Astyanax mexicanus: one gene and its partners. The protein of the gene in region 2 purifies or fractionates together with the protein of the main gene of each other region. This does not show direct contact. Links are inferred from orthologs where the notes say so. Each region holds a gene or a part of one and is shown on either strand. Other genes may lie near its edges.

What was found.
Region 1: the proteins of bbs12 (region 2) and bbs7 purify together in Homo sapiens (co-immunoprecipitation; 3 studies listed by BioGRID and IntAct, counting the BioPlex papers as one, with this or other methods). This does not show direct contact. The link is inferred for Astyanax mexicanus from reciprocal best matches to the Homo sapiens genes BBS12 and BBS7.
Region 3: the proteins of bbs12 (region 2) and mkks purify together in Homo sapiens (co-immunoprecipitation; 4 studies listed by BioGRID and IntAct, counting the BioPlex papers as one, with this or other methods). This does not show direct contact. The link is inferred for Astyanax mexicanus from reciprocal best matches to the Homo sapiens genes BBS12 and MKKS.

What each region holds. Positions count from the first base shown.
Region 1 is NC_064417.1:25,281,990-25,291,888, reverse strand, and holds the start of bbs7 (Bardet-Biedl syndrome 7 protein), read left to right. Parts: upstream 1-5,002; 5' UTR 5,003-5,513; coding exon 5,514-5,549; intron 5,550-5,692; exon of another isoform or gene 5,693-5,694; coding exon 5,695-5,760; intron 5,761-6,962; coding exon 6,963-7,025; intron 7,026-7,138; coding exon 7,139-7,314; intron 7,315-7,418; coding exon 7,419-7,605; intron 7,606-8,204; coding exon 8,205-8,277; intron 8,278-8,385; coding exon 8,386-8,502; intron 8,503-8,744; coding exon 8,745-8,875; intron 8,876-8,972; coding exon 8,973-9,057; intron 9,058-9,680; coding exon 9,681-9,783; intron 9,784-9,899. Other genes in the region: small integral membrane protein 43-like, read right to left, coding at 1,457-1,690.
Region 2 is NC_064409.1:65,591,699-65,601,607, reverse strand, and holds bbs12 (Bardet-Biedl syndrome 12 protein), read right to left. Parts: upstream 4,081-9,909; 5' UTR 3,938-4,080; intron 2,835-3,937; coding exon 870-2,834; 3' UTR 673-869; downstream 1-672. Other genes in the region: uncharacterized protein cetn4, read left to right, coding at 5,465-5,626, 5,988-6,116, 6,781-6,918, 7,766-7,855. UniProt on the Homo sapiens protein: Component of the chaperonin-containing T-complex (TRiC), a molecular chaperone complex that assists the folding of proteins upon ATP hydrolysis.
Region 3 is NC_064432.1:14,241,435-14,252,009, reverse strand, and holds the start of mkks (McKusick-Kaufman/Bardet-Biedl syndromes putative chaperonin), read right to left. Parts: upstream 4,884-10,575; 5' UTR 4,246-4,883; intron 3,606-4,245; 5' UTR 3,604-3,605; coding exon 2,568-3,603; intron 395-2,567; coding exon 213-394; intron 1-212. Other genes in the region: protein SLX4IP, read left to right, coding at 6,983-7,009. UniProt on the Homo sapiens protein: Probable molecular chaperone that assists the folding of proteins upon ATP hydrolysis. Plays a role in the assembly of BBSome, a complex involved in ciliogenesis regulating transports vesicles to the cilia.

The DNA of each region.
Region 1 (9,899 bases), on a different chromosome or scaffold from region 2:
ACAGTGTGGTAAAAAAAACATGCTTTTATGTGAAAAAAGTGAGAAAAACATAACCCAGTGAGTTTTTAACTGTTTTGTATGTTTGTTTATTTTAACATCAATTATCTTTGTGCATGTTCTTTTAGAAAATTGCTGTTTATTTGTCTAACAGTAGCTCTGTTCAATAATGGCAAATAATTTAGTTAAAATAAAATCTTTGTTCTTCTTCTTAGCTGGTAGGAGATTTGATATATGTGTTGCAGCCGGTAAAATGAAGATAGTAAAACTTAGGACATATAATTCAGCAGCCATATATATTTACCAATGCGCATTAAACATATTGTAATCAGAAACAATACTGTGTCCCGAGTAATGTTCCAAATATTAGGGAAAAAATGGCAATATAAAGTCGAATTTATGATATAAAATCAGTTTATGAAGAGCCTACCCACATTCTTCTCCGTTTTATCAGAAAATTACTGTGAAACAATAGAGGGAGCCCACAAGTGAGTCCAAAATGAATAGGGGTGAATAGGGGAATTAAAATGAGCAATATCCACCTGGCCAGAAATTTTCTTTAATTTTGAAAAGCAAAATAATATAAATAAATAATAAAATAATGTTGCAAAAAAGCAAAGAAAATGTACCTATACTTGTCCATTTGTCTAGAGCAAACGGGTTTCAGACAACAGACGTGCTAGAATAACTGCTGCTAGTGAGCTGGGCTCGGTAGCTAACCTAATTTGGTTGACTAGCTATAGCAACTTGCTAGCTTAAGTAACTCAAATGATAGTCTAATGTTGGCCAACTACTATAAAATCACTACACAGATAACCTAACTGTGGCTACATAACATAATATTGGACACAAACTAAACATTTTCAGTAAGACAATAGAAACAATTAGCTTAGCTAACAGCAGATTATAGAGTATGATAAAGTTAGCTAGCTAGACCTGTCAGCCACACAGAAAAAAACAGCTCAGAAAAATACAGTTTATAGTCTAGTTTTACTTAAAGTAAAGCTTATAATTCACTCAATAATAAACAATTTGTATGGAATAATTGTATAGAAATCTTCATACTAATTTCTTCCAGATAAAAATAGGTTAGCTATCTGACAGCTGATGTTAATTAACGTTACTCCAGACAGCTCTTCTTCAGGTTTTCTTATTCACTGAACATTAACAGCCACTCAATCCAGCAGTTGGGTCCAGAAAAAGCCCAAGAAGAAATTGTGTTCTATTTAGGAACATAAACATGCAGTTTTTCATCTGAATTATCCTCAAAAGCTGGGAATGCTGGCTGGCTAGATTTCAGTGGTCAGTCTTGGACACTTCCAGAACTTCATGTTTCAGTCACAGGATAATAATCCACTCTGGTTGTCCAACATAGTTTAACAATATAAGATGTTTGTAAAGGCTTTTTTTGGCGAAAAATTACATCCAATGCATGATTTTCCATACTTGTCTCTCTTTCTCAGAAATTGTGACCCCTGAAGGACCCAAAGTGTGGCCCTCTGAAGGACCGGCTGGGGTGGAGGGCGCTGTTTCCTACAGAGTTCCTCAGCTGCTTCAGCAACATCCACAGTAGGAGCCCCATCAGCAGCAGCAGGAGCATGAGGATCCCCAGATACACGCTCACGTTCCAGCCCCATTCCATCGCAAGAGGCATAGAGGTGGAAGCCACCAGGAACTTCTTAGGAGCAGGCATCAGTTAGCATGGATTGAATGCAACCGCCCTGGTTCTTCAGGGGGGTCCCACCCCAGGGAGATGTTTAGGTTTGAGGCGTAGCATCCTTGGTTTTCGCATGTAGAAGCAGACCATCTTCTTTGTCCTCACATCTCCTTGAGGTCTGGTAGTGTCCTCTGCTGCTGGCAGAATGAGGCAGCTTTTCCAAACCCCTGCGTCTCTGTGTCTGAGTGTTGACCCCTCCCCTGGTGCTGAAGGACATTCATTGCCCTGACTTATGCGCTGGGGAAAGTGCACACACTCACACACAAACACACACACACACACGCATGCATATGCTCATTCTCAAACAGACTCAACAGAGGGAGAAGATAATATCTATGAAAACAGCTGTCTAGTGTTGTATCAGACCATCACACTGTGTCTGTTCAAGTGTCCTCATATTGCATGAGATTTATTCAATAAGAGAACTGACAAAATGTTCTCGGCATCATCAAGACCAGATGAAGGCTGTTACGGCAAGAGCATTTTGTCCATATTTTTTGTAACCTGCTTGATGATGAAGGCTTTGTGCACGCTGTTGCATGAATTTGCTTATAATTAGGATAAATAAGCCTATGAAAAAAAATCATGAAACCCGTTAATCAGAAGCTTACATTGCTTCTAATAAAATATGCATGTTCTCTAATGCACATCATCATTCATAATATGATCATAATATTTCTTTATAATATTTATTAATATAGACTTACTCTTACGCAGATTAAAAATATACACAAAGATATGTAAAAGAAAGAACATGACAACATTAGATATCTTTATCAATACCAAATCTCAAAACTTAAAACTTAAATAAGCAAGACAATGCAGTTAATTCAGAACATAATAAGCATGATAGGGTATTGCAAGCAAACACACCCACATATAGACCTATGTATGCAGTTTAAGCCTTATAAAAAATGACATTCACAGATAAGACAACTAGGTAAGACAACTAGATTAGATAACTTTATAAATCCAAGAGCAAAATCCACAAATTGCAGTAGTCTAATATACAGATATGGCAAAGAGATCAGTAAATCAAATATATTGATTTGACTACACAATGTGTACACAAGTATAGAACTTTATAAAGAATATAATAAATAAATAAATAAAAACTACAAAAACAGAAAATTTATTCATTTTATGCAAAGTGCAAGTTAGGGTGGCAAGGTTAATTGAATGAATTATTATTTTCAAAATGGGGTCATTTATTTCAGTAATTCAGTTAAAAATGTGAAACTCATATTATATAGATGTATTGTACCCACAGTGATCTAATTTAAGCATTTTTTTTATTGTTTATGATTATGTCTTACAGCCAATGAAAACCCAAAAATCAGTGTCTAAGAAATGTTGAATATTATATAAGACCAATTGGTCCTTTTGGCAGTGTGGGCAGTGTACCAAGTCTCGCTGGAAAATGAAATCCATATCTCTATAAAAGTTGTCAGCAGAGGGAAGCATGAGCTCTGTAATAAAATAGCATAGCGAACACTTCCTATGCAGCTATACGGAAGAACAATAACATTTGTAGATTCTTAAACCATGTGTTCAGTTTAGTAAATTATTCTCTTATTTGCCTTTTTGAAACATTACCCCAATCTGACCCTGCTTCTTTTGGAGTAACTGCATCTGCTGTAAGGAATTGATTGCAACAAGAGCATTAGTGAGGTCAGGGTGTTGGATGATCACCATCCCACCTTATCCCCAACTTCCTAATTTATCACATTGCATAACATTCTTTAAGGTTGAAGAGGGAAAAAAACATTAAAGCAACCTTTATTTAACATTGCCTAATAGCCAATAGTTAATGTTAAAATTCTGATGTTGAATCATTGTTCATTCCAGTTTTTGAATGGTTGGGGCTCTGAATTCACACTTACAATGATTTTAGGTGTACAGTGCTTCCCACAAGTAATAGTATTGAGTGTATTAAATCAGATGTCTCTAAAAATAATTTCCCACTGAATGGGTGCCATTTGCTTGTTGTAACTCTTCCAAATTAAACTTATTTTTTTTCAACTCTGAATCTAATAACACCTGTATGTAACTATTCAATACATGTACTGGTCAATCTTAGGCAGCTTTACAAGGTTTCTAAGCTGAAGATGGTTACAAAACTCATTTGACATTTAAAAAGCATGTTTAAAAGCAAGTCCACTAATTCTTTGATTGATTTTCTCTCAAGAAAGCGTTTATTTTAAAGAAATGGTTGACTGTATGTTCAAATAGTTGATATTAATGACAAAAAAATTACACCTGTTACTGGAACTCAGTCCTGTTTCTGGCACACATTCCTGTTACTTTTATTTGTTTTAAGTAACAGGAATTAAAGTAACAAGACTGTTTTTAGCATAGAATTAGCAAAAACATGAAAAATAGCTAAATAGCAGCAATGCCAATAGCATGAGGACACTGAGCACATTCTAGTGATTTTCCCACAATAAGATCTAAGAATTAATTTAGGTAACAGGACAGAGTGTTGAGATTGACCTCCTCAGTCATAGTTACAATAAGATCAAATATACAAAAAAAAAAAACTAATGGGGGAACTTAATTTTGGTCTTCTCATGATCTTCAGAAGAACCATCTGATGTAACTTTCTGTTGTAGATGTGTAGCGTTACAGATGTTTCAGATGTTTTACGGTAACAGGAATGAATGAAACCCAGGGACACATCTAAAATGTTTTTAGTTCTTTTATCTTAAGTATTATGGACTTACAACAATGCAAAAAATTACATCTCTGAAAAATTGTAATCATTATTTTTCATGGTAAAGTTTATAGTTAGAGAGTGGGGACAGGTAACAAATGCTATTTTTTCAGTTTTCTAGGTCACTGGCTGAACTACAGTGTTGTTAGCCAATCAGAGTGGATATGTTTGCATGTATGAATATTGCGCAAATATATTCATGTACAAGACAATATGCTTCATAATAAAATGTATTTGAACGTTATTTTGTGTGCACATGTAACATGTAATTTCCTGGGGACAAAAAAGGAACACATTTGGTGGAATGGCTCAGGGGTCTGTACAGTTCAAAAGCACAAATAACAAAAAAAATCTGTTCTTGTGAGAATAAAAGTTTGATCAAAATATTTATTTTGATTAATTCTGATAAATTACTTATTGTTTTAATAATAAAAAAATAAAAGTCATAGAATGAAAAAAAATTAAATTATTGATATTGAATTATTTTTAGAGACCAAAAAAAACTTTTCCAGATTAATATGTATTTCTGCAATATTATTTCCTTTTTTTTTGCCTAATTTGTTTGTCTCCATGGAAACCTGGGATGCGTCAGAGACCAAACATGGCGGCGCTGAGAGGGCAGCTTGCTTAGCTTTGCTGGATGTTTATTAATCTATTCGCTAAGCTTTTTTGCTCTTCTAGAAAATGATATATAATACGGGCTAATGTCGGGTTTTTACCTCCTTCCAGAGGACTAACGAGCCGCGTTAACTCTCACACGAAGGAAAAATCTGTTTCTGCGGGTAGCATGTAAGCTAACTAGGCTTGTTATTTAGGTTAGCTTTAGTTAGCCTTCCAGCTAGAACCTGCGGGAGGAGCGAGGACAGTCAGCAGCACTTAATCCAGGAGTTAATCCGCTCACTGAGACACTGCATTTCTTTCAGACTACGTTTAAACCTCCGAGAAACTAGAGGAAACGACAGATACCTGAACTATCCGGCAGCACACAGCAGAAACACCCAGCTCTGAAGCTAATCGACTAATCAGTAACTGAGATTCCGTGATCTACAGCCAGCTACACCCACATCTGTGATCAAAACAGAGAAGATGGAACTTAGTTTAAACCACGTTGATTATCTTCAGGTAAGAAGCTACTTTTGAGACTCCAAACTATCCAATGCTATGTGATAAGTACTGAAAATTTAAACAGTAGTTATCATTAGTAAACTGTTCACCATGTTATTGGCACGAATAAGCAGGAGTTATTTTTTCTTATTTGTCTTTCAAGGTCGGAGTAACATCCCAGAAAACCATGAAACTGTTACCAGCAGTGGGACGAAAAGCGACACAAAAGGTAAGTTGACTTTTTTTATCTTTCAAATCTTGATCTGTATTACTGTTATGTTTTGGTAATGAATTGAAAGAATGTAGTTACAGAATTCATCAAACAATTGCTATCAAACCATTAATATAAAATTCTTGCACAAGTGCACATACAAAATGATGAAGCATGGCAGCCAAAACAATGAAAAAAATGGTAAAAAAAAAAGCAAATATAATGAACAATGTAATAAAACACATCATCAAAATCTAAAGTAGTTCTAAAACATTGTTATAATATTTTAGGTCCATATTCGCCCACCTCTAATCTAAAACACATTTTTTGAATTATAAAATGTGCATGGTATAACATTTTAATGGTCTCACTCCTTGTTTTTTTTTTCATTCTTTTTAAATTGTCTCTTGATCTCTACTATGAATGAATGCCATGTGAGCCGTTTTTTATGAAAGAAGTGCTCTGGTGATCCAATAAAACTGTGCTTTAATGTGATATCTAGTATGAATGAATGCCATGCGAGCCATTTTTTTTACGAAAGAAGTGCTCTGGTGATCCGATAAAACTGTCCTCTGGAGTCCTCTGGAGGAGTGGGGGGAATTTCGGCTCTTGCTCATGAAAACATACAAAAATCTACTCTGATTGGCTAACAACACTGCAGTTCAGCCACTAACCTAGTTTTAAAGTCTCTGTAAAATGCGAAATCCACCGGAGATCCTATGTAAACCTATGATTACATATGATTAGTCTTAGACTTAGTCTTAGCTGTAAAAAAGTGGGTGGATTTGCCCCAGGCATCCTTCTCTAAGCCAGGGAGTGTAATTAACTTTTACTCTACAGCAGTAAATACAAATCACACTACATGGAGCAGCTCTACATTTGGATTTTTTAACAAGCTGACATATACAAAAGCAGCATCTGTGAATGAGAAAGAAGCATGTGGGCTGAGCCCATAGAGTAATATTATTTATTTTATTTTTACACAAATATGGTTTGTGTTTGGTAGCATTTGTATTATGCAGCTCCACCAAAGTTACATTATAGCACAGTAACAACATTTCAGAGTGGCAATGTCATAGGCACCATTCTCCCTATTACACTCAGTGGAACATCAATACGATTCTGAAGCTGCTAATGTAAGATAAAATTGTTACATAATCTTGCTTTAACTGGATGTTTTTATTAAGTGTTATGTTTTTTTTGTGATTTCTTCCATTTAGGTTGCTGTTGCAGACCACGATGGTGTAGTGAACTGTTTCGGGATGAAAAAGGGAGAGGCTGTGGTGCGTGTTTTAATTATTTTAACATTATTGACTTTATGATGGTTCAAATACTTTATTCACCTATTGGAGATTATATAATTACTGCTAAAGCAAAAAAACTCTATTTTATCCAGCCTGTTTTCAAAAGTCTCCCAGGGCAGAAGATCTCCAGACTAGAACTGGGAGGAGCTTTAGGAACCCCTCAGGAGAAAATCTTTGTATGTTCTGGCTCTGAGGTCAGGGGCTTCACCAAAAAGGGAAAACAGTTCCTTTCTTTTGAGGCCAATCTGACTGAGAGCATTAACGCCATGTGAGTCATTATTTTTTCATTATATGCTCATTATATGCTTCATTATATGCTGGTTACAATGGATGTACGTGACCTGAACGTTAATATTTATACATTGTTGGCAGGCATGTTTCTGGAGCAGATCTTTTTGTCTGTGCCAGCTACATCTACAATCACTACTGTGACTGCAAAGACCAGGACTATTACCTGTCAGGAGACAAGATCAATGACATAGTTTGTTTACCTGTGGAAACAGTGGGCCGTACAGTGCCTGTTCTGGCCTGTCAGGACAGAGTTCTTCGTGTTTTACAGGTGATTGTACTGAATTTAACTCTTATCTGCCCAGCAGTTTAAATATCACCATTCAAAGCTAATAGAAGCCTCTTAGTATCAGGTGAATGAGACAATGCTAACTGGAAGTAGCAGTCCCTAAGATTTTGTCTTTTAAATTGAAAGTAGTAGTATTTGTCATAAGTGGGGGAATAAGGGGGAAAATATTCTAATGAATGATATCAGTGTTCCGGCACAACAATTTAAAAACAGAGTGGTCTGGTAGGTTAGTTGGACGTGATTAATCTGCCCATTTTGACAGAATTCTATAAATGAACAAGAACAAAACAATATACTCAAAAAATTGAATTTTACATAGCAATTTGTTTACATTAACCTGCATTAAAAGTACTGTACCACATGCTCTGTGCAATTACACATTCTCACCAGAGAGGCCTCCAAATCCTCAAAATTTACAGACTGTCACTTTAAACAAAATCCAGTTGAGCTTATCTATAAAAATGAGTCATCCACAATCTTTCCATGTGTTTCCTTTCTTCTACTCAAACATTCTTATTCACTCATAACATTTTAGTAAACATCTGATCCTATAGTACAGTATGAATTCTTGTTTCCTGAAGGGCTCTGAGCTGTTATATGATGTTGAGGTTCCTGGACCTCCATCTGTTCTGGAGCTTCACAACAGAGATGGAGGTGAGCCGTGAAACCTAGGTCTGATGCAGAACAGTACAAAATAGTAATTGAAATATGTAGATATGAGTGTGTGTATGATTGTTGACACAACGTATGTTTTATGTGTAGGTAAGAATGGGGAGGAGGTGCTGTATGGAACCACTGATGGGAAACTGGGTCTGATCCAGTTAACCAGTTCTGCTCCTGTCTCTAAATGGGAGGTGGACAATGAGAAGAAAAAAGGAGGTAGGGGCAAATCTTATAGACAGCTTTGTGGAAATTTAAAACAGTTTTGTAGGTGAGTTTACGGATGGGTGATATTGTAAAAATATAATGAAAATATCATATGTTTTTTGAGTGCACAAGTGATATTTAAAGACCTTTTCATAATATGCAATATTTATTGCAATATTTTTGGATGTAGACAAAATACACTAACTTAAAAATTTCTAACTAAATTTAACTTTTTATTTCATTATCTTCTTAAGGGGTGCTGTGCATCGATACCTTTGACATTCTGGGTGATGGTGTGAAAGATATTCTGGTGGGCAGAGATGATGGGACAGTCGAGGTCTATGGATTGGACAGCTCCAACGAACCCACGCTACGCTTTGAGAATGTATGTGTGACACTGACAGGTTAACACTCTCTGCTGATTTCAAAATAGCTGATCAGTGTTGTTTGATCACTAATCTGCATTATTCTGTGATCAAAAGGTTTTGTCAGAAAGTGTCACATCAATCCAGGGGGGGTGCGTAGGAAAGGAGTCATATGAGGAAGTTCTAACTACCACCTACACAGGTCAGAGACTGAAGACTAAGTTAAAATACTCCTTACATTCTACCATCCATGTTGCTTCTATCTGCTGTTAGCAGATTCCATATTAAAAGTAGTGCCATATAGAACCATATTAAAAAATGTATAAGGACACCTACACATTATACCTACAGGAGGTTTTACCACATTCTGTTCTTTTACCATAGTCATTAGCGTGCAGTCGGTCCCCCTTTGCAGCTCTAACAGCAAGTGTGGAGCTCTGCAGTCATTGATCAGCTATTCTCATCAGCACACCCCTTCTGTAACTTTACATGATCAGACATTTTGTGGCTGAGTTTCTGTGGTTCCTAAATGCTTTCACTGTTTAATAATAACCACTCACAGCTTATTGTGGAATATCTTGTAGGGAATAAATTTCACCAGCTGACCTCCTATTGCACACAGTGCAACACACGTTCTCTATCTAAGGTCTGTAAAGTCCCAAGACTGCATTACTTGGAACTTGATTTCGTACACCTATGGAAATGAGACTTTGTGAAACACACAGTTTCAATGATTAGAGGTGTGACCAAAACCTTATGTCTTTATAGTGTATTTTAACCCTATTTTAAATATCTTACTCCCTTGTCTGGTTGTGATGTCACTAGGTTGGGTGTCAGGCCTCACTACAGAGCCGCAGCAGATGGAGGCAGGGCCAGGAGATGAGGTAAAGATGAGCCGAGAGACCCAGACAAAGGTGGCTGCGCTCAGGTACAGACTTTACACATGTAATGCTGGACAAAGCTCTTATTTAGTGATATTCCTTATGAATTTAAAAAAGAAGCTCTTATTATGGAGAAGCTAAATCTCTCCTAGATAAATGTGAA
Region 2 (9,909 bases):
GTATATGTGATTTTAGAGCATGTCTTGGTCCATTAATAACAACATTAAAACACATTGGAGAGAATATATCAAATTTACATCATATTAAAAGTAAATTACAGCAAACTGGAGCCTTTGGAAATTCTGTGTTGACTGCAGAGGTCATGAGAGTGTTTATGTGGTTTTGTTTTGAAACAGTGCTTGGCTGTTTATGTTTGGTTTCGGCCATAGAAGAGAGGAAGTTTTTGCATTACTGAAACAAAGTGAAAAGAACAGAATGAAAATGAGGTTTCTTCTATTCTGCCCTACAGTCATGAGTATAATTTCCAGATCAATCTTACAGAAATCTCCCAAATAATTGCTTTACACAAGAGTAAGGAAATGTAAATGAATGTAGAACTTTCTGGTGGTCAATGTAAAAAAAACAGTAGTTTTGAATTATGTCAAAAGGAAGAAGATTGATGTTTTTTTGTTCTTGTTGTAGTGGGACAGCATGCGTATATATATATATATATATATATATATATATATGTGTTGGAGGGAGTAAGCCATTAAAAAGATTTTAGCTTGTTGTGTTGCTGTTTGAATGTGTGACAAAACAAAATACCATTATCAGATGCAGTTTTTATGTTACTGAAAGTTGGTTCTCACTAGAAAGCCCTGCCAAGGGGTTAACACTTGACAATTAGATGTGTGTAATGTTAGTGGTGAAGTTTTTTTCTTGCCCAACGTACAGTATTCCAGATGCCAACAGTATACAAGATTGAAACTTTATTTAGTGTTTAAATACAAGTACAAGTAAATAAATAAACAAACAAAATATATATGTATATTTAAATAACAAAATGTGACACAGCACATAGGGTTAACATTTTACCAGTTCAGAGAGATTACAGAAACATGACATCTCTAAACTGACTATCACTCTCATTTATTCCTGTAATAATCTCAGTATCTGTCTGTAGAATCAAAAACACCAGATCTAGAGCTCCTCTCCAGGCCTCAAACTTCACGGTCATATTATCATACACTTCATCTCTCTCCACTGTCCCCTCGCCTCTATCCTGGTCTCCCTTTCCTTGTATTGCATTTGTTGAGTTACTATACGTTTTAAGAGGACTTTTCAGCCAACCTGGAAGGCTCTTGCTCTCAAACTCCTTCAGGTGTTGGGCTATGTGTGTCCATGCGTGTGCTTTGGCTGTAACCTGACCAGCATTGAACATGAGAGTGGATATATAGTCCATCCAGCCCTCTGCCATCAGCTGCAGAATCACTGGTTCATAGGGTGCTACATCTTTCTGTCTGTCTTTACTGTTCTGGGATACATCCTTATGTCTGTACAGCTGGCGAATGCACAGCAGTTCAGTCATTCCAGCGCCAGGCAGCAGCTTTCCGTCATTGAGTGCATGATGCAGACGATAGGTGCAGCTCCAGAACTGATCTTCCAGGCTCTGGAGCTTAGCATGAACTGAGCTAGTAATGATCACCGTGACCAGAGTAGTTGCACTAGCTACAATGTTCAAAAGGGTTGACGATTCTGTCTTCAGTGTATTTTGATAGTCTCTCAGCACGCTAACCTGGACCCCAGATCCCACACAGCGCTCGCTAAGCTGTGTGACATAAGAAACAGAAACAGCTCCAGTAGTTGTAGCGAAGTTGTTCAAAATTGTGACCTTCACATGCTCAATTACCAGGATGTTGTGACTGAGGCAGTGGCTTTTAAGCTGTGAAGTGACCATTCCATTCACAAGGAGAATGTCTATGCTGAGGTTGAGGAGTATTCTCAATGCACGGTCCATCCATTCCTGCTCTACACTGACTCCTGTGGAGATGCACGAATCATGAATGTATGTGACATTTTTAGGCCTGTTGAAACCGACATGGCGGTATGACTCAGTGAGGTCGCCATTTATAAGGCCGATTTTTAACGCCCGCTCTTCGAAATGCTTGACTAGAGACACCTGCTCTACACTACATGACTTCACAACATACCCATGGAGTACACAGGAATGTTCCTCAGACAGCCCTGGCAATGGGCATGTCACTAATCTATCAACATCTAGAAAGTTGTGACTGCTGTGACCTTGTGGGACATATGTAGACTGAATCCTGCTAGCCTCCATCACTAACCTCATGGAAGCCTCACATCCATGGCTCACAGCTTCAGCTAGCGGAGTTAAGTCTAATGTTTTTGAACATTTTTGGTGTAAATTTGGTGATGTAAAGTCCACAGAGTGTGTTTCCTCAGCCCCTGCACTACTTGAATTGAAGTGCCTGCTGTGCTTGAGCTTTATTCTGTGCTTTAGAGGACGCTTCTCTTGGTTAAGAACTCCATTTATGGATTTAACACCACCATCCTGAGTTGATTTCTTCACTCCTGTATCTATAAAAAGTCCTGTAAATAAGCCATTCGTTTGCTTCTGTACAGCACTCTTACAGATCCCCTCCTCCACAGTCACCGCATTACGCTTGCAGACCTCCACACACAAGTCCAAGCCCTTTGACATGCCAGCTATGATGTGCGGAATGGAGATGCCCTTGTGAAGACACTCCAGGGCCACTCTGCTCCAGACCCCTGCGAGGAAGACCACAGTCCCAGTGCCCGAGTGCAGTGTCCCTTGGTGGGCCCGAACAGTCTCGTGCAGCAGCTGCCCAACAGAGCTGCTAAGCTCCAGCTGCTCCAGTAGACGGTAACAGGAGCAGACTAGTGCAGACTCCCCAGTCGCCTCATCTTGGATGAATTTATAGCGTTTGTTAGGACCCAAAAAAGAATGGGTGGAAGCAGCCACAGCTTCCAGCTGCTGGAGACCAATATGTCGACCCTGGTTTACTGCTCCACTTCCTAGAGCTGACATCTGTGTATTAGAGAGACATAAAGGAGTACATTAGGTGTAATCAATTTTCAGTAATTTTTCCAAATTTTGTTTTTTCATCTCTGCCCCTCACAATCGGAATTTATGGAAAAAATCTAAATTATTATTATTTTTTAATTATTTTCTTATTTTTTCATTTTTGCATTTTGCAAGTTGGATAATAACATCAAGATAAAAAAATGGACAAATCTGTAAAATCAAGAGAAGATTCAACTTTAAATTTTTCTTGAAATTCTGTTTGCGAAAGGCTAAAATGAAAACCTAGATAAAACCTACATTTGGATAAAAAAAAAATTCTTTACTAACCTGAATTGAAAAAAAAAGATTAAGCTCAATACCCATTTTTTTATTTTTAAATGGAGCTTGATACGGTTAGAAAATTAAACTGCTAAACGTTACACTGATTCTGTGGGGTCCTGGTCATTAAAAAAAGTGTGAAAAACTGAGACAGTGGTTTATAAATTATATTATAAATAATATAAATTATTATAAATTTATATAAATTATTAAAAAATGCAATATTACAGTAGCATTGTCATTTAGTGCGTTTATTTCTTTTTTTATTAACTCATTTTCTACGTCGTATATTAATATAAAAATACATCAAAATAGTTATATAATTATTAGAATTATGTAGCAAACAAAAAATAAAAAACAAAACCCAACTGGAGCACACGAGGAAAAGTAGCAGCTATTGTTTAGAAAATACCAAGAGTGTGCAGATCTGTCCTCAAAGCTAAATGTTGTAACTATTTCTAGAGTAAATTATACTCTTATACTTTAAAACTTTTTTGTTTACAGAATAATTCAACACGTGTTTCTTTATGTCTTCAACATTTACTTACGATATAAAAGAACCATGAAATAAATAAAACACATTGAATCAAATGTATTAAATAGAAACCCGCTTTAGTTCGCTATATATATTCTTTTTCTACATTGATATTAGCTGAATTAGCTAGCTAGCGCTAGGTGACTTAACCAGTTAGCCAGCTAACGTTAGCTCTTTTAGCTATACTAGCTATCCCTAAATCCAGCTGAATCCTGTGAAAAATAAAAACAAAGAGCATAAAAACCGAACAAACCTTTTATCAACATCGCTGAGGCGAGAATTCGAGACATACAGTTTATATACGGATTAACAGAGCTCTAGAAATACCGCTCTGTTAACTCCGGACCCAGCTTTACTTATTACACACAGAGCCACCGCGCACATGCGCACTGGGGGTCAGCCCCCAAATCCACGCTTGTTGCTAAGAGACTTGCCAAACGAGCACGCAGTTGCCGATCAAGCGCTGAAGGCCCGCCCATACTACATTTTGATTGGTCTGCTGGCAGTGCGCTCTGTTATAGTGGGCTTGAGCTAGATTCTTATTGGGGTGCTTTGCTGTCAATCATTTGGTGGTCACGCCTATCAGAAAGTTGAGTTGCGGCGGAGTAGTATTTTCGCTGGTTTTACACTGAAAAGTAGCATTTATTGTTGGATACGCCACGTTCAGTATGGTAAGACGGTCGATAAGTTGCTCATTTACTCAAAAACACAAGGTATTATATGTAAGTTAGCTAGTTCTGACTAAATTAGCTAGTAACTTACAAACAGTGAACACCTGACAGATGTTGTTGTTAGCAAGCTAGCTAACTAGCCTAGTGAAGCTAACGCTGGTCTCCTATGGTAACAGTAACGTTAACTAACGCAAGCTCACAGCTACTTAGCTAGGTTAACTCAAGAACCTAGCTCCTTTGTTAATTAAGCTAGGTTATCTAACCTATATTCTAAAGGTGGCAGCTAAGTAGCTAGCTAATAAGTTAACCATTTTAAATTCAGCGTCTGCTACAATGGACATCACGTATTTCCTTTTTAATGTTGTGTTGTTACATAATACTAATTGAGACTCATTGTTGTCCATCAGAATAGAGCAAGAACCAGCCAATTAAAAAGTTTACAAGCCACAGAAACAGTAGTAGTTACTGTGTAGAAATGGTTTGTGACATAAAAAAGGAAATATCGAATATAAAATAAACATGTTAAACAAAGGCCTCCATTACAATGGACAAAACAATTAAATATTTAGTTAATTGGATTTAACTGGACTTTATATTAGAGATTTCAATTAGATTCTTCTTTTGTGTGCATTGCAAAACATTTTTTTTATATTTTTCTTTTACTGGAATATAACTGGGTTGGTGCTGTTTTTAGCCAGCATTTTTATTACTCTCTGAATGCATGACAAGCAATCACGTAGTAAAATGAAAAAGTGTTAAACATATCAATATTCTGTGAAGCATTTCGGTGGTTCTTATTTAGGGGGCTTTTGGCTGATAACTCTGATGACCTTAGCCTGTGCAACAGAGATAGTTTTTCATCTTCCTTTACTGGGGCAGTCCTAATGAGAGCCAGTTTCATCATAAAGTTTTTGATTGTCTGTGTGACTGCACTTGAGAATTAAAAGTGCACATACTATTTAAAGGGTTCACATACTTGTTCTTGCCACTGTATTTGTAAGTCTGCTTGCCATGTGACATCTTCATTTTTTGTATGTGCAATTTAATGTTTAGTGAACTATACAGTTGTAGGAGAAATTACAGCCAGTGGCTTCACCTCCCTATGTTTCATGCAGGCATCCAGCTTCAGAAAACCCAGTGCAACGGCAAACCAGCGGAAGAAAGGGGGTCCCAAAGTGGATCTAACAGAGGAACAAAAGCAGGAGATTCGAGAAGCATTCGATCTGTTTGACACTGATGGTTCAGGCACAATTGATGTTAAGGAGCTTAAGGTAAGGGCATGCAAATTGATGTCACCAACACTTTGCTCTCCTACCTATCCATTGATGCTGCAAAGGCGGCAGTTTTAAAAGAGGCCGTTGGTGCCTTAACATATATCAGAGGAGACATAGCCTGATCTTTACCCTCCTAGTGTTAGGGGCATAACTAGTGATGAAGGGAGTGATTGGCCCTCTAAATTGGGGAGAAAACGAGAAACAATATGTATTTAGTTAATTCACTTGTTTTTTTTTCTGTGTGAAAACAAACCAAGGGGTTTACAAACTTGATAATTGATTTACAGCAAATCAACTATAAGTGTAAAACACCCCAGATCAGGTAATTAGATCTGTGTCTTTTTGTTATCTCATTCAGGTTGCTATGCGTGCTCTTGGTTTTGAGCCAAAAAAGGAGGAGATAAAAAAGATGATTGCTGACATTGACAAAGAAGGCTCAGGCACCATCAACTTCAATGACTTTCTCTCCATGATGACCCAGAAAATGGTAAATTGTCTAAATAAGCAAACATGTGAAATGTCTAAAAAAATGTATGTAAAGTGAGTAGAACATAAACTGCCCTTCAAAAGGCATGAATCAATAATTCTTGTAAAAAAATGTAATCAGGATTACAGTATTATTTGTTATGTACTCTTTGATTTACAGTGAGAAAGGGAAAGGAGCTGTTGCAGTCATCATTAAAAAATTGATGTAATGCAAACTCTAAAGCTTTACATATTGTCTCAACAATCAGCAGCCATGTACTTCTCTCCAGAATTTGAAGAAATCAAATTCAAACTCAAACTGTAAAGCACAGAGTCGAACTGATCATGCTTTGGATTTGCAGTTTTTGTCACAGATAATATTTCACCTTTGCATTTTTTTGAAACGGTAAGAAAGGAAGTAAAAATTAGTCTTTTTAAATATTAATGAAAACTGTCTTCTTTAACTTTTTTCCTTTTAGAGGAAAGGTCATCCTTTACTCACTGAGCTTTTCACAACAGCTCTTTTAGTTAGCTGTGCCCAAACATTTGCATGAAACTTTATATATCAGAAAGGTATTCTGTGAAGTAAATTAGTATACTGTGCAAATACTGCATGTACAGCAAATCCAGATTATGTTCTTTAATCTTTCTGCATATTGTGCTTTATTGCTTACTGACCAATACAGAGTGAAAAAGATTCAAAAGAAGAAATCCTAAAAGCATTCCGATTGTTTGACGATGATGGGACAGGCAAAATTTCATTCAAAAATCTTAAACGAGTCGCCAAAGAGCTTGGAGAGAATCTAACGGATGAGGAATTACAGGTGAGTTTGGTAAATAAGCATTAATACACAAGAGGGCTTGCTATAACCTGTACACCTACACGTACCTCACGTTACAGCACCAATCTCAAGTGTTTTATTGAGATTATACCTCAGTTCTGTTATGTACGTTAACTCTTCAAAGCAGATAAAGATAATCAGACTCCCAGACTTCCCAATCATCAGAATGACAAGAAATAGCCAAAACATAAGGTGATGGAACAGATTATTTTAATCAGCGCACACACTCCTAAAGCTGTTAAAAAGGAAAACTTTCAGTATTCATCCACTCTATCTCTACCTATTCCACCTTATATAGTGCAGCAGGTGCTCCCTTTGATTGGCTGATCTATGGGTCTTAAAAAACACACAGTGTACAATACTTGTACCTATCTAACAACAGTATTGCTCTTTTTTTAAATGTTAACTGTATTAATGTTGGGTATGCCCACCATATGAATAACAGTGTAACAATTATAATGTGGCAGGGTAATACCCAAAGAGCTTTAATTAAAATACTACTATAATATTATATCTTGGCCAATTGTATTGCGGGTAGACTAAATGTGGTATAATAATAAATGTCCCTTTGTATTTCTGGAGTAATGTTGTTTATGCAAGCAGTGATGCCCTCAGTATTGTGTGAAAACAAAGGTCTGTGTCATCATGTTCCACTAGACAGGATGAACTGGGGCTTGGTGTGCCTACAGTGACTCAGTACAGACTAAATCCTGTCTGATTTGATCTTTTTGATCAAGAACCTTGGTGGCATCAGGGAAATTTTTTCTTTGTTGTTTGTATTCCGTCATATTGTTTCACATTATTCTAACACTCATTTCCTCTTTGTCAGGAAATGATAGATGAGGCGGACAGAGATGGAGACGGAGAAATCAATGAACAGGAGTTCTTACGGATAATGAAGAAGACGAACCTGTACTAAATTTGGTTGTTTTCTTTCTCATTTTCTGACTCTCTTTTCTTACTTGCTATCATTTGGTCAGACAGTTGTTTGACACCATAATTTTTGTCTTTTTGCAGCAAATGTAAAACACTTTTTCTTTCTTTTGTAAGATTTGTAAACCCAAAAAATATTTAATATACACACATTTTGTACTTTATTGAAAAAAATAATAAAATGTGTATTTGACTATATTGTATTGTGTATTAATTAAAGATGCATTTGACATTCAGGCAGATTAAACTGAGCTCTTTGCTTTTCTTGAAGAGAAGAGAGGAGTTTCTCAGCTTTAATATCTGTTTCGCTGTAGGGGGCAACCTTGTATTTGCTTGGCCATGTTTCAAATGATAACCCATGTAATTGTGAAGCTGCAGATGTAGATAAAAACCTGCAAGAAAGAGAAAAGCTAGAAATACACAATATACACCTGACTGGTATGTGACCCTGTGTTCAGCATCGGGTAAACATAAACAAGTGTTCTTTTAATCTTTTTTTTTCTATTTGGGCATAGATTCTCTGCTTTTTAAATTACAAGCGTGTAACTAGCAATTTATAAAAAGAATCAAGACCCTTCATGAAGACACAGACTCCTGGAATTTACATCATACAACATGTGCATTGGGATCATTTATGTGGCCTGTATGCATGAACATGATGGTTCTGAACACAGCCATACAGTGACTGGAGTTCACAGAAAACACAAAAACAGCCTGTGGTTCTCTAAGCAACCCATAAATGACTATTACAAACACTTGCTTTTATTATTGTGTTTATTAAATAGTTTATATACTGCGGATATTCATAATAGGAATAGTTTTTACACAGTCCTGTGTATTCAAGATTTGATGTTAAACTCTATTTTTTCCTCTATCCAAGATTTCAAAACAGAATTTTTAATTATAAATCTTAAATAATAAACTAACTTTAACATATAGGCATTTGATGTTAAGGTTTTGTGTTTCCTAAATATTTTAAAGGGACTGTTAAGAGAACATTTAGGTTCGCAACAATTTCTCTTAAGACCCTTAAGGCATTTTTTTCTGCAACACACTAACATATTTAATTGGCTATGACAACCATGCTAGCAACATGCATGTTTTAAGCAGATGGCACAGAGTAGTAGAAACTATGTGCTTTAAACAGATCTTTATTCGTACCCTAATGATTTGTTTTTCAGACAATGAATTGGTCTCTGTAGATCCTGAGATGACGTCTTATTATGTTGAAGACTTTTTTAGGCATATTGTGGTTTTCTTTAGGCTCCATTTCATATGAATTCTGCCATCACCTCTTCTGCCTCCAGCTCTGATGCATCTACCACCAGATGCCTGTTACTGGCCAGCATCACAATGGAAGTGATTATTTGAATCTAATTGCACCGTAAAGCAGCAAGTCAGGCTAAAAGATCCATATGAGTGTATAAGATATATACAGCTCTGAAAAAAATTAAGAGACCAGTTAAGAGAATCAGTTTCTCTGATTTTGCCATTTATAGGTATATGTTTGAGTAAAATGAACATTGTTGTTTTATTCTATAAACCCTGGACAACATTTCTTCCAAATTCCCAAAAAATATATATTGTCATTTAGAGCATTTTTTTTGTTGCAGAAAATGATAAATGGCTGAAATAACAAAAAACATGCAGAGCTTTCAGACCTCAAATAATGCAAAGAAAACATTGAGTTTAAGACAGAGTTTAAGAGTTCAGAAATCAATATTTGGTGGAATAACCCTGGTTTAAAATCACAGCATGCATCTTGGCATGTTCTCCTCCACCAGTCTTTCACACTGCTTTTTGATAACTTAAAAAAATTCAAGCAGTTCAGTTTGGTTTGATGGCTTGTGATCATCCATCTTCCTCTTGATTATATTCCAGAGGTTTTCAAATGTGTTAAATCGAGGAAAAACATCATCATTATTAAGTGGTCTCCTCATTTTTTTCCAGAGCTGTATATACTAGTACATCTTACTTACTTACTTACTTTATTTCAGTAATTCCATTTAAAATGTGAAATACATATATTATATAGATGTA
Region 3 (10,575 bases), on a different chromosome or scaffold from region 2:
GCCATTTCTCATTTTCTGTGAATAAATGACAATATTTGTTTTTGGAATTTGGGAGAAATGTTGTCCGTAGTTTATAGAATAAAACAACAATGTTCATTTAACTTAAGCATGAACCTATAAATAGCTAAATCAGAGAAACTGATTCAGAAACTGAAGTGCTCTCTTCATTTTTCCAGAGCTGTATATTGAAGTGGCCTCAGGCATCAGCTGACCTTCAGCTCCTCCAGCATGGTCTGGTTCCTGTGGCAGAGCAGCACGGTGCTCAGGGCTGGATCTCCAGAAGGAAGGAGCTGGAGAAGCTCTTTAGATGCTCTGTGATGGAGGCGGAGTCCTCCAACCAGGCCGTACGCTTGGGCCGGGATCGGAGAGTAGATAGACGAGATCATTGTGGTTCCTAAAAAAAAACACATAACAGTGTTTTTAAATACAAATACAGAGTACAGTACCAGTCAAAAGTTTGAACACACCTTGAATTCAGTGTTTTTTCAGTATTTTAAAACGTTCTGTATTGTAGATTATTCTCATTCAGTTTTATGAGGTAGAATCACCTGGAATTCAGGCTTTCAGTTAACAGCTGTGCTGAACTCATCAAGAGTTAATTACTTGAATTTCTTGTCTCTTAATGTGTTTGAGAGCATCAGTTAAAGTAAAGTTGTGAAGAGGTAGAGTTACAGCTATACAGTGAATAGTGAATATTTGACTAATGTTCTAATCCAGATTATGAGAAGCAGGAACTACTCAAGTAAATAAAGAAGAAAATGAAGTTCAGTCAATCTGAAAAGAAGAATTTCAAAAACCATCAGAAACACTGTAATGATGAAACTGGCACTCATCAGGACCACCCCAGAAAAGGAAGAGCGAGAGTAACACCTGTTGCAGACTACACAGATGCGTTTTTGTACTACACTCTTAACACGTTTTTACGTTTTACATTAATAGCTGAAATATATTGCTTTGTAATAATAAAACATACCAGCCCAGATGCAAATATTTTCAGAATTTAGACATTTAGAATTTTTTGCCAATATTTTGATCTACGTTAAGTAAAGTCCAAATAAGATAAAAAATAGTTCAAATTAAATAAAGTATATATATATATATATATATATATATATATATATTAGCCACAATTAACTTGACTGTAAGTCGACTTTATTTAAAAATAGGGTTTATTTGATTTATTAACCTATGTAGAATATTTAAACATTTTTAGAAACTTAACCACTTTTCAAATGAGTGGAGTTGCATTATTTTATGATAAGCTATTATCTGATCAATTAAGAGAGGACAATCCTTCATTAATCCCACGGTGGGGATATAGATAAATATTTACAGTTAAGTGCTTAAAATGACAACAAATGTGTTTCCTAATAAATCACAATAATTATACACAATAATATACTGCATGTTAAAAACTTTTATCCTGATACATTAAAAGCATGTATACATTTTATTTACCTAAATAGTTGTTTATTTATAGTTACTAAGCCTCAATTGTATGTTAATTTCATTAATTCTTTTTTAATTAATCAGATTTGTATTTAGTCTTCTTTTTGATTTCATTTAAGTGCTATAGAGTGAACAGTAAAGCACACAGCCAACACAAAATCAGCAGCTCAGAAAATGCTGCTTGTTCTTACAGCCGACAACACAGAGACCAGACACTTCATCATAATAAACAGCACTGGAAAAAAGAAAATAAGAATTTCTTTGATTTTACCAAATTGAAAACTTTTTAGACTGGAGGAGTACCTGATGCCAAGATGCATGAAAACTGTGATTAAAAAAACAGGGTTATTCCACCAAATATTGATTTCTGAACTTATAAGAACATTTCTCATTTTCTGCAAATAAATGTTCTAAATGACAATATTTTTATTTGGAATTTAGGAGAAATGTTGTCCGTAGTTTATAGAATAAAATGTTCATTTTCTATACCTATAAATAGCAAAATCAGAGAACTTTCAGAAAACTTTTTCCAGAGCTGTATGAGCTACAAGTTTACCTAATGTATCCCGGGGAGAATGACTACACACTGACAGTAAGTGTCAGAAACTGGGGAACTCATCATATATGGGTCCATAGTGCAGGTTTTTTATGTTTTACTATGTTTTTAAAGTAATATGTACGGAAACTAGGGCTGCAACTAATGATTATTTTGATTTATATTTGGATCTGATGATTATTATTGGTTTATATTTGGATCTGATGATCATTTTTTCGATTAGTCAATTAGTCAGCGATTATATCTGCCATGTCCTCCACCTCTAACAACAACAGAAAAACAGCTAAACATGAGATTTAAAAGATATTTAAATGTCCACATATTGTTTAAATGTGGAGAGTACTGATATTTAGTGAATACATATGTAATCTGTTGTGTTTGGGCACTTTTGGAGACACAGACCAAGTTTCTTCTGTCTCCAGCACTTTGTGTAACGCAGTACTGTTAGAAATGAACGATTAGTCGACAATGAAATTTGTAGTCGACAAATTTAAATAATTGTCATTGTCGATTATATCGACTAAATGTTGCAGCCCTACTGGAAACATTATCATGTTCATACCCGTCATCTGAGCCAGCGGCTCCACGAGAGCAGCTCCAAGCCTCTCGATCACCAGAAGCCCACGTTCCCTCAGGTACTGCTGCAGCACCGGGTGGATCACTCTCTGACATACGAACAGAACCACACCATCCCTGACCACCTGCTCTCCAAGCTTCAGCAGCTGGTCCAGCAGAACCTGGTCTGGGTTTAGTCCTGCGTGGATCTCCAGCGCTGCATCTTCCATGTCTGAGAGATCTCCGGACAGCGACATGTTGAACAGGGCGATCTTATAGGGAGCGGGACCCAACCTCTGGAGATCTCCAGACTGTAGGACCGGCAGGTCCAGCAACAAGCCGGGGAAAACCGCCGAGTCGCCCACCGGCAGACCTTCCAACGGTATGGTCACTGTCCTACCAAAGCATCTTCTGCCTGGTGATTCTGATGATTCTGATGGACCTGATGGAGCTGATGAGTGTGATGAGTCTGATGGAGCTGACGGGACAGACAGGAGGAAAGCCTGCACTGTTACAGAGCTGATGTGCTGAAGCTCTTCAGGCGTCAGCATGCAGACCCTCTTGCTGGAGATCACAGTTCTGGCTAAAGTTATGAGCGTCTGGACGTTGCTGAAGTCCACCTCCACCCTGCAGCCGCAGCTCTCCGACCTGAGGTACCTCCTGCACTCTGCTAACAGGTGCCTGTACACCCGGGTTGCCAGAGCAGCGCTGAGGTTCATCCCCCTGGCATTTTGAACCAGGTTAATGCAGACGATTCCCGTGAACAGTCCGCAGTCTCCGAGCCGTGCCGCGTGGTTAATAACCGCCCCGGCTACGAGTTTCAGAAGATCCTCTGAGAAGGTCAGCGCTCTGAGTAACACTGAGGAGGTAGAGGTGGTCAGAACGTGTCCTCCCACATTGTTGTGAATTTGTTTGAACCTGCCGCGTGGACCATAGCAGGAGGAGAGCATCAGCCGCAGTACGGCGAACTTCTGCCAGAGCTCAGGTACAGCCAGGGGATCGTCCGTGCAGCGAGACGCCGCTTTCTTACACACACGACTCATTACTGAGAGAGAGAGACACATACAGAGAGAGAGACAGTTTTACAGTTTTAAATTATTAATATTTCTAATTCTCTAATGTTATCACTAAATTTGTAATTACTGTTGAATTTGTTTCTTTGTAATTGAAACAAGTGATAAAGAAACAAACAGAGAGACAAACACAGAAGCAGAAAGAGAATGAGAGTGAGACAGACAGACAGACAGATGGAGAGAGAGAGACAGAGGAACAAACAGAGGCAAAGAGAGAAGAGCAAGACAGACAGACAGACAGAGAGACAAACACAGAGAGGAGAGAGAAGGAGAAAGACAGAGACAGACAGAGGCAGAAAGAGAAGGAGAGTGAGACAGGGAGAGAGATGGAGAGAAAAAGAGAGAGATGGAGAAACAAAGAGATGGAAAAAGAAAGACAGGCAGTAGTTAAGCAGTTAGTAAGGTAAACTAAGCTAAGCTATGGTAAAATATGGGATATATAGGTTAGATGTTCAGTTAGCTTAGCTTAGCTTAGCTGGTAAATCATACAGACAGTAGATAGTTAGCTTAGATAGCGGTTAGCTTAGCGAGTTTATTTAGCTACAGTTACCACAGACTGTTAGACTGAGGAATAAATCCTACAGTAACCCACAGTAATAAACCAGCTCTTACCCGCAACAGCTGTCTACCTGTCTGTCTGTCTGTCTGTCAGTTGGCAGAGTCGCTGAGTTTACACTCAGCATGCTAACGCTAGCTCAGGCTGCTGGCAACTCAGGGTTGCCAGATAGCTCTAAAAAGCTCCAGACAAACCATTCTCATTTAATCCCGAATATTCACCATAATAAATCTCTGAAATTTAAATAATAAATTGCCTAGAAGTAACAGAGCATTTGCAACTAACCTAAACATTGGTTTAATAACGGTTTCGAGGCTTTAAAACAAAAAAGCAAAAAAACGAATTTGTTTGGTACAGCAAATGCCTATTATTTATTTCCACTGCTTTATAAAACAGTACAGTTTATTGTATGTGCTTATATGCACTACCATATAACACCTACAATTTAACAGACTCCGTCCACCTGGACATGAAGAGTTTAAATAGCAAAAAAAACGTTTTCAATAAAGGCATACAGATATCATATATTATATACAAATTAGCAAAAAGAACAAAACTCGCAAAAAAAAAAAAATCTGGCAACACTACTGGTAATAAACTTAGCGTCTGTTTCCCAGGTAACTGCCCAACGCCTCTCGATCGCTAATATAACAGATTTATCAGACCAAACAACATAAAACACATTAACTGAAATAAATTAAATATATATCTTATCTAAAATATATATATTTATAATATATTTTTCTATATCTCTCCTCCAAAGTCCGCGCAGGCAGATCTACAGCCACCCGCGATTTCTATAGGAACGCTGGCAGCGTCGGGGTCCTGAAGGTCACGTGACGCTTTGAGAAGCGCGGGAAGCTGCCTGTTTGCTTTGATGTGAATCTGCGCGTCGCGAGCTGCTCAACTTCACCTCCTTATTTACATTTTACACCCGGTAAACCCGACCTTTATACCATATACACCTGAAATACACACTCTCAAATACACAGACAGACAGACAGACAAATTAATAGAACTGACCTTACTACACCAGACAGGGAGACAGACCTCATCATACTAGACAGATAGATAGGACTGACCTCATCATACTAGACAGACAGACAGATATATAGGACTGACCTCCTCATACTAGACAGACAGACAGACAGACAGACAGGACTGACCTCATCATACTATACAGACAGACAGACAGACAGATAGGACTGACCTCATCATACTAGACAGACGGACAGACAGACAGACAGACAGACAGACAGACAGATAGAACTGACCTCATCATACTATACAAACAGACAGATAGGACTGACCTCATCATACTATACAGACAGACAGACAGATAGGACTGACCTCATCATACTAGACAGACGGACAGACAGCATGGAAGCTTTGGTTTGTACACAATTTCTCCCCTCAGAAAACAAAGTTATGTAATAATGAATTAATGCTGATAAGATGTAAATCACTTTATCTTGAGAACTTGCACAGTAAAGCAATAGACTATCTGCTTGATTTATTTAATGAGGAGGGGAACCTTTATACCGACTGTAATTTTATGAGTAAATACTGTTTCCCTGTTGTTTATAAGGAATTCAACTCTGTCATAAAAGCGATCCCAAATTGTCTTATTCACCTTATGAAAGGTCAGATTTCATATGAAAAGGTCAGGAAAGAGGAACGTCAGTTTTTAGTAGGCAGTGTTTGTATTTTCGGCCTAAAATAAGAAGAATAATAATAAATAATAATAATAAATCAATAAGGAATGTGTTTCATTTAAAAAAATGTTACACCTAGAGGGATTTTTTTTTGAATACCATGATCCCAGATATAAATAGGAAAAAAGCATGTTATTTTGTGTCCTCAATAAAGCAAGGGAAGTGCATTTGAAAATAACATTTTCAACATAGATCCTACGAATGAGAAAATTGCATAATTAAAAAATATACATACAGTATTAAATGCTCCTTTTGTCATTCGGATTATGAATCAGTATCACATCTTTTTTCTTGAATGTTCTATCGTTTCTAAATTCTGGTGAGACTTTGCCTCTTTCTTTTTGAAGAAAACCAACATTTTCCACACAATAACCTAGATATAGAGTATATTATTAATATTGTTATTTTATTAAGTAAACACTAAATTCAGTGATGTAAATACTCGACCTTAATACCAAAATTTGTTATATTTTATACTAGATTTTACCTCACTTTTGAAATCATTCAGAATTGCTAACAATAGGAAATGTAAAAAAAAACAAAAAAAAAAAACTGTAAGAACCTGTGATGAGCTCTCACTGACCTCTTGTTAATCTTTCTTTGTTTTCCTATTCTCCCTATATTTTCATGCTGTTTTCTATTGTGATTTCTTTGTATTAACTTGAAGCTTTAAAGAATAAAAAACATATATCCATTCAATAAAGTAGCTAAATAATAAATAATACATTGTAGCCAAATATTTACAATAAACTGAAAAAAAAATGTTTAAAAATGTTTTGAGGTTTTAAGAAACAATTATAATCATGAAACAAAAAAGCTTTAGCACAGCAAATGGCTATTTTTTCTTTTCTTTCTTTCTTTCTTTCTTTCTTTCTTTCTTTCTTTCTTTCTTAAACAGTACAGTTTATTGTATGTGCCTATACAAATAGATAGATAGATCGATAGATAGATAGATAGATAGGACTGACCTCACTACACCAGATAGATTTATCAGCTGATGTTTATTTAATGTTAATTGAATCATGAAATACAGATATTTTAATAATACTTTTGTTGCAGGTGCTGCTGGTAATTTGAAATGCAGCTCTCCAAGTTTGTGATAAAGGTAGGTGCAGATTTACAGCTATACTACAGATTATATTTATGGAAATGTATATAATGTATTTAATATGACCCACACAGCGGTGAGTTTTCTGCCTTAAGTGTAAGAATAAAGAGTTTGAAATGTAATAAATAATAAATAAAAAAAATCAACCAAACAAAACATTTTGTGCCAGAACACAGTGGAATTTCATGTTTTCTCGAATAATTCTGTCATAAAATGTAATCCGGTCCTCACCCAAGCCAAGGGTTTTGACAAATATAATGTGCCTAAAAAAATCACAAAAAATATGATTATTTATTGTCTTTATTGAGAACAACCCTAAAAAAAACTCATAGTGCACCCTTGTGTTAATGGCCTCGAAATAGCTCATTAGTTTTAAGTGTTAGCATACCTGAAGTTTTGCTAGTTTGGAGGTGTGGTTTAGAACTAATTTGACTGATAAAAAAACACTTTGCACAAGAAGGATTTGCATATGTGAGCCATAAATAACCAAAAAGAGCTTTCAGAGGATCAATGATCAAAAATTGTTTATTTACATGAAGCTGGAAGGGGTTAAAAAGTGTTTAAAAAGGAAAATTCACTAGTCTACAGTAAAGCAAACTATGTAAAAATGTATCAAATCATTGGTACTGGCTAAAATGCTCTGTAGAATTTGGGTCATGCAACAGGACAATGACCCAAAAACAAAAACACCAGAGCAAGTGCACAAGACAATGGCTTGATAAAAACAAGTCAGAGCCCAGATCTGTCTCGGATCCTATGAATTAACCTGAAGAGAAATGTACACTTGAGACCTGCAAGAACATCATTTTTGTGTTAATATTTTAAGCACACACTTATGCAGAAAACTGGAATGAAATTCCAAGGAGTTCACATACTATTTCTTGCCAAATATCTTTTCTAAGCTATTATTGCTCAGGCTTTAAGTTCTCAGGTTTTCATGGTCAGTTCTATTAACAAATTAGTATATATATATATATATATATATATATATATATATATATATATATATATATATATATATATATATATATATATATATCTTTGGAAAAAAATGAAGAGTTTCTCTGATTTTGCTATTTATAGGTTTATGTTTGAGTAAAATGAACATTGTTGTTTTATTCTATAAACTACAGACAACATTTCTCCCAAATTCCAAATAAACATATTGTCATTTAGAGCAGAAAATGAGAAATGGCTGAAATAATAAAAAAGATGCAGAGCTTTCAGACCTCAAATAATGCAAAGAAAACAAGTTCATATTCATAAAGCTTTAAGAGTTTAGAAATCAATATTTGGTGGAATAACCATGGTTTTTAATCACAGTTTTCATGCATCTTAGCATGTTCTCCTCCACCAGTCTTACACACTGCTTTTGGATAACTTTATGCTGCTTTACTCCTGGTGCAAAAAAATCAAGCAGTTCAGTTTGGTTTGATGGCTTGTGATTATCCATCTTTCTCTTGATCATATTCCAGAGGTTTTCAATTTGCTAAAATCAAAGAAACTCATCACTTTTAGGTGCTCTCTTATTAATTTTTTTTAAAGATGCGCTTTGTGTTTTCACCACTAGAGGTCAGGATTGCTTTACAGATTGGCCCACAGTTCTCAGAGCTGCTCAGCTTTAATCTATAGGCTTATAGAGGAAGGTTTTGTAGTATGATGATGATGATGACGATGATGATGATGATGATGTGTATCTGATAAATGAAACGTCCTCTGGGTATAGTACGTGTAATTGCAGCCGTTACCGCAGTAATGGAGGCGAGTTTAGTGTTTTATTGTAAGTTTTAAATCTCTGGCTTGGTCGTGTCTCAGACTCGGCTTTAGGTAATCAGGGGTGTTGTTGTCCAGGCTCTCATCTTCCTGGGCAGTCTGTCCGTCTGTCTGCGCTGTTTGGCTGGATGGACGTCAGGCTAATGCAGATCAGATGTTTGTGTGGAGTTTTGGGAAACCCCTGGATCTCTTTCTTTTGTGGTGTTTCATTTCTTACAGGATTGCTCACAAAACTCCGGCCATTAGTTCAGATCACACACACACACACACACACACACTATTGTTCTTCTTAAAGGAGAACTCCGGTGTAAAATGGACTTTTGTTGTAGTAAAACATGATAAAAAGTTCTTACCTTTGATGAATAGCACACCTCCATTCTCCCACAGTGTTCTGAAATCTAGTAATTTTAACAGTTTATCCAAACACTCTTCAGACTGGGTGATACGGGGCATAATTTACCCTGATAAATCGCTTTTTACACCGTTATCCAGCTCAAAGTAGCTCCACACCTCCTTGCTAGAATCCAGAGAGTCCTGACATTTAAAAACGAGGCATTAATAACTTAAAAAGTAAACAAGCTCTGAGCTCCGCCATTACTGTGCTGTATGTTATTATACAGTACAGTACAGTAATGGTGGTGCTCTGACCTGAAGCTAGCATTATAGGATGTAAACAGAGGTTTTTAATAAGCTTCTTGAAATAGTCTACACAGCTGTATTTCCAAATGTTTCTGTACCACACATTTTGGCCAATTGTTCTGGATACACAACATTACAAGTTTATGATCTCAAGCTCAGCACTACTTGGGTTCTGCAGCAGGACAATGACCCAAAACACACAAACAACAAGTTCACTGTCTCTGAATGGATGAATAAACTAAATGAAGGGTTTGTAGGGTCTAGTTAAAGTCTAAAGACAGGATGTTTATGCTGGAAAATCCTCCAATGTGTCTGAATTAAAATAATTCTGTAAAGAAGAGTGGAACTAAATTCCTCCACAGAGACTCGTTATTAATTATCAGTAAAGATTGATTACAGTTGTTTCCGCCAACAGTGAAAAAAATGTAATAGATGCCAACAATTTCAGCCATGCCTGTGTATCACAGCCCCACTGCTGATCTGTAATCACACTCTCTCTCAGTTTCTACAGGAACTCTCTCTTGATTTTCTCTCTCGCCCTCTCTTTCTGGCTCTCTGTCATACACACTCTTACACATGCATTCCATCGTATCTCGCTCTCGCGCTCCCACTCTCTCTCTCTCTTTTTCATTGTGGGAGAACCACACGAGTTCAGTGCATTCGCGTCCTCCCAGTCTGAGCATAATGATACTGTTGTGTTTCTCTTCCCTGGGAAAGAATCGCTCATGCCCGACACCCAACCACAGAAACACACAGTACCCTGAACCTCCGAACAATAGCGTCAAATCACCCTCTCATTAAACCAGCAGTACCATCACCACGCTGCTGAGATTTCCTCTAATTAAACCTTTATCTAGTTCCCTTCTTACACCAGCACATTCCCATCTATCACACATTTTACACTGCCTTGCAAAAGTATTCAAACATAAAGATACAAAATTTTAATTACTTTTTTTGTGAAGAATCAACAACAAGTGGGACACAGTCGTGAAGTGGAACGAAATTTGTTGGATATTTTTTAACTTTTTTTAAAAATAAATAACTGAAAAGTGGGGCGTGCAATATTATTCAACCTCTTTACTCTCAGTGCAGCAAACTCACTCCAGAAGTTCAGTGAGGATCTCTGAATGATCCAATGTTGACCTAAATGA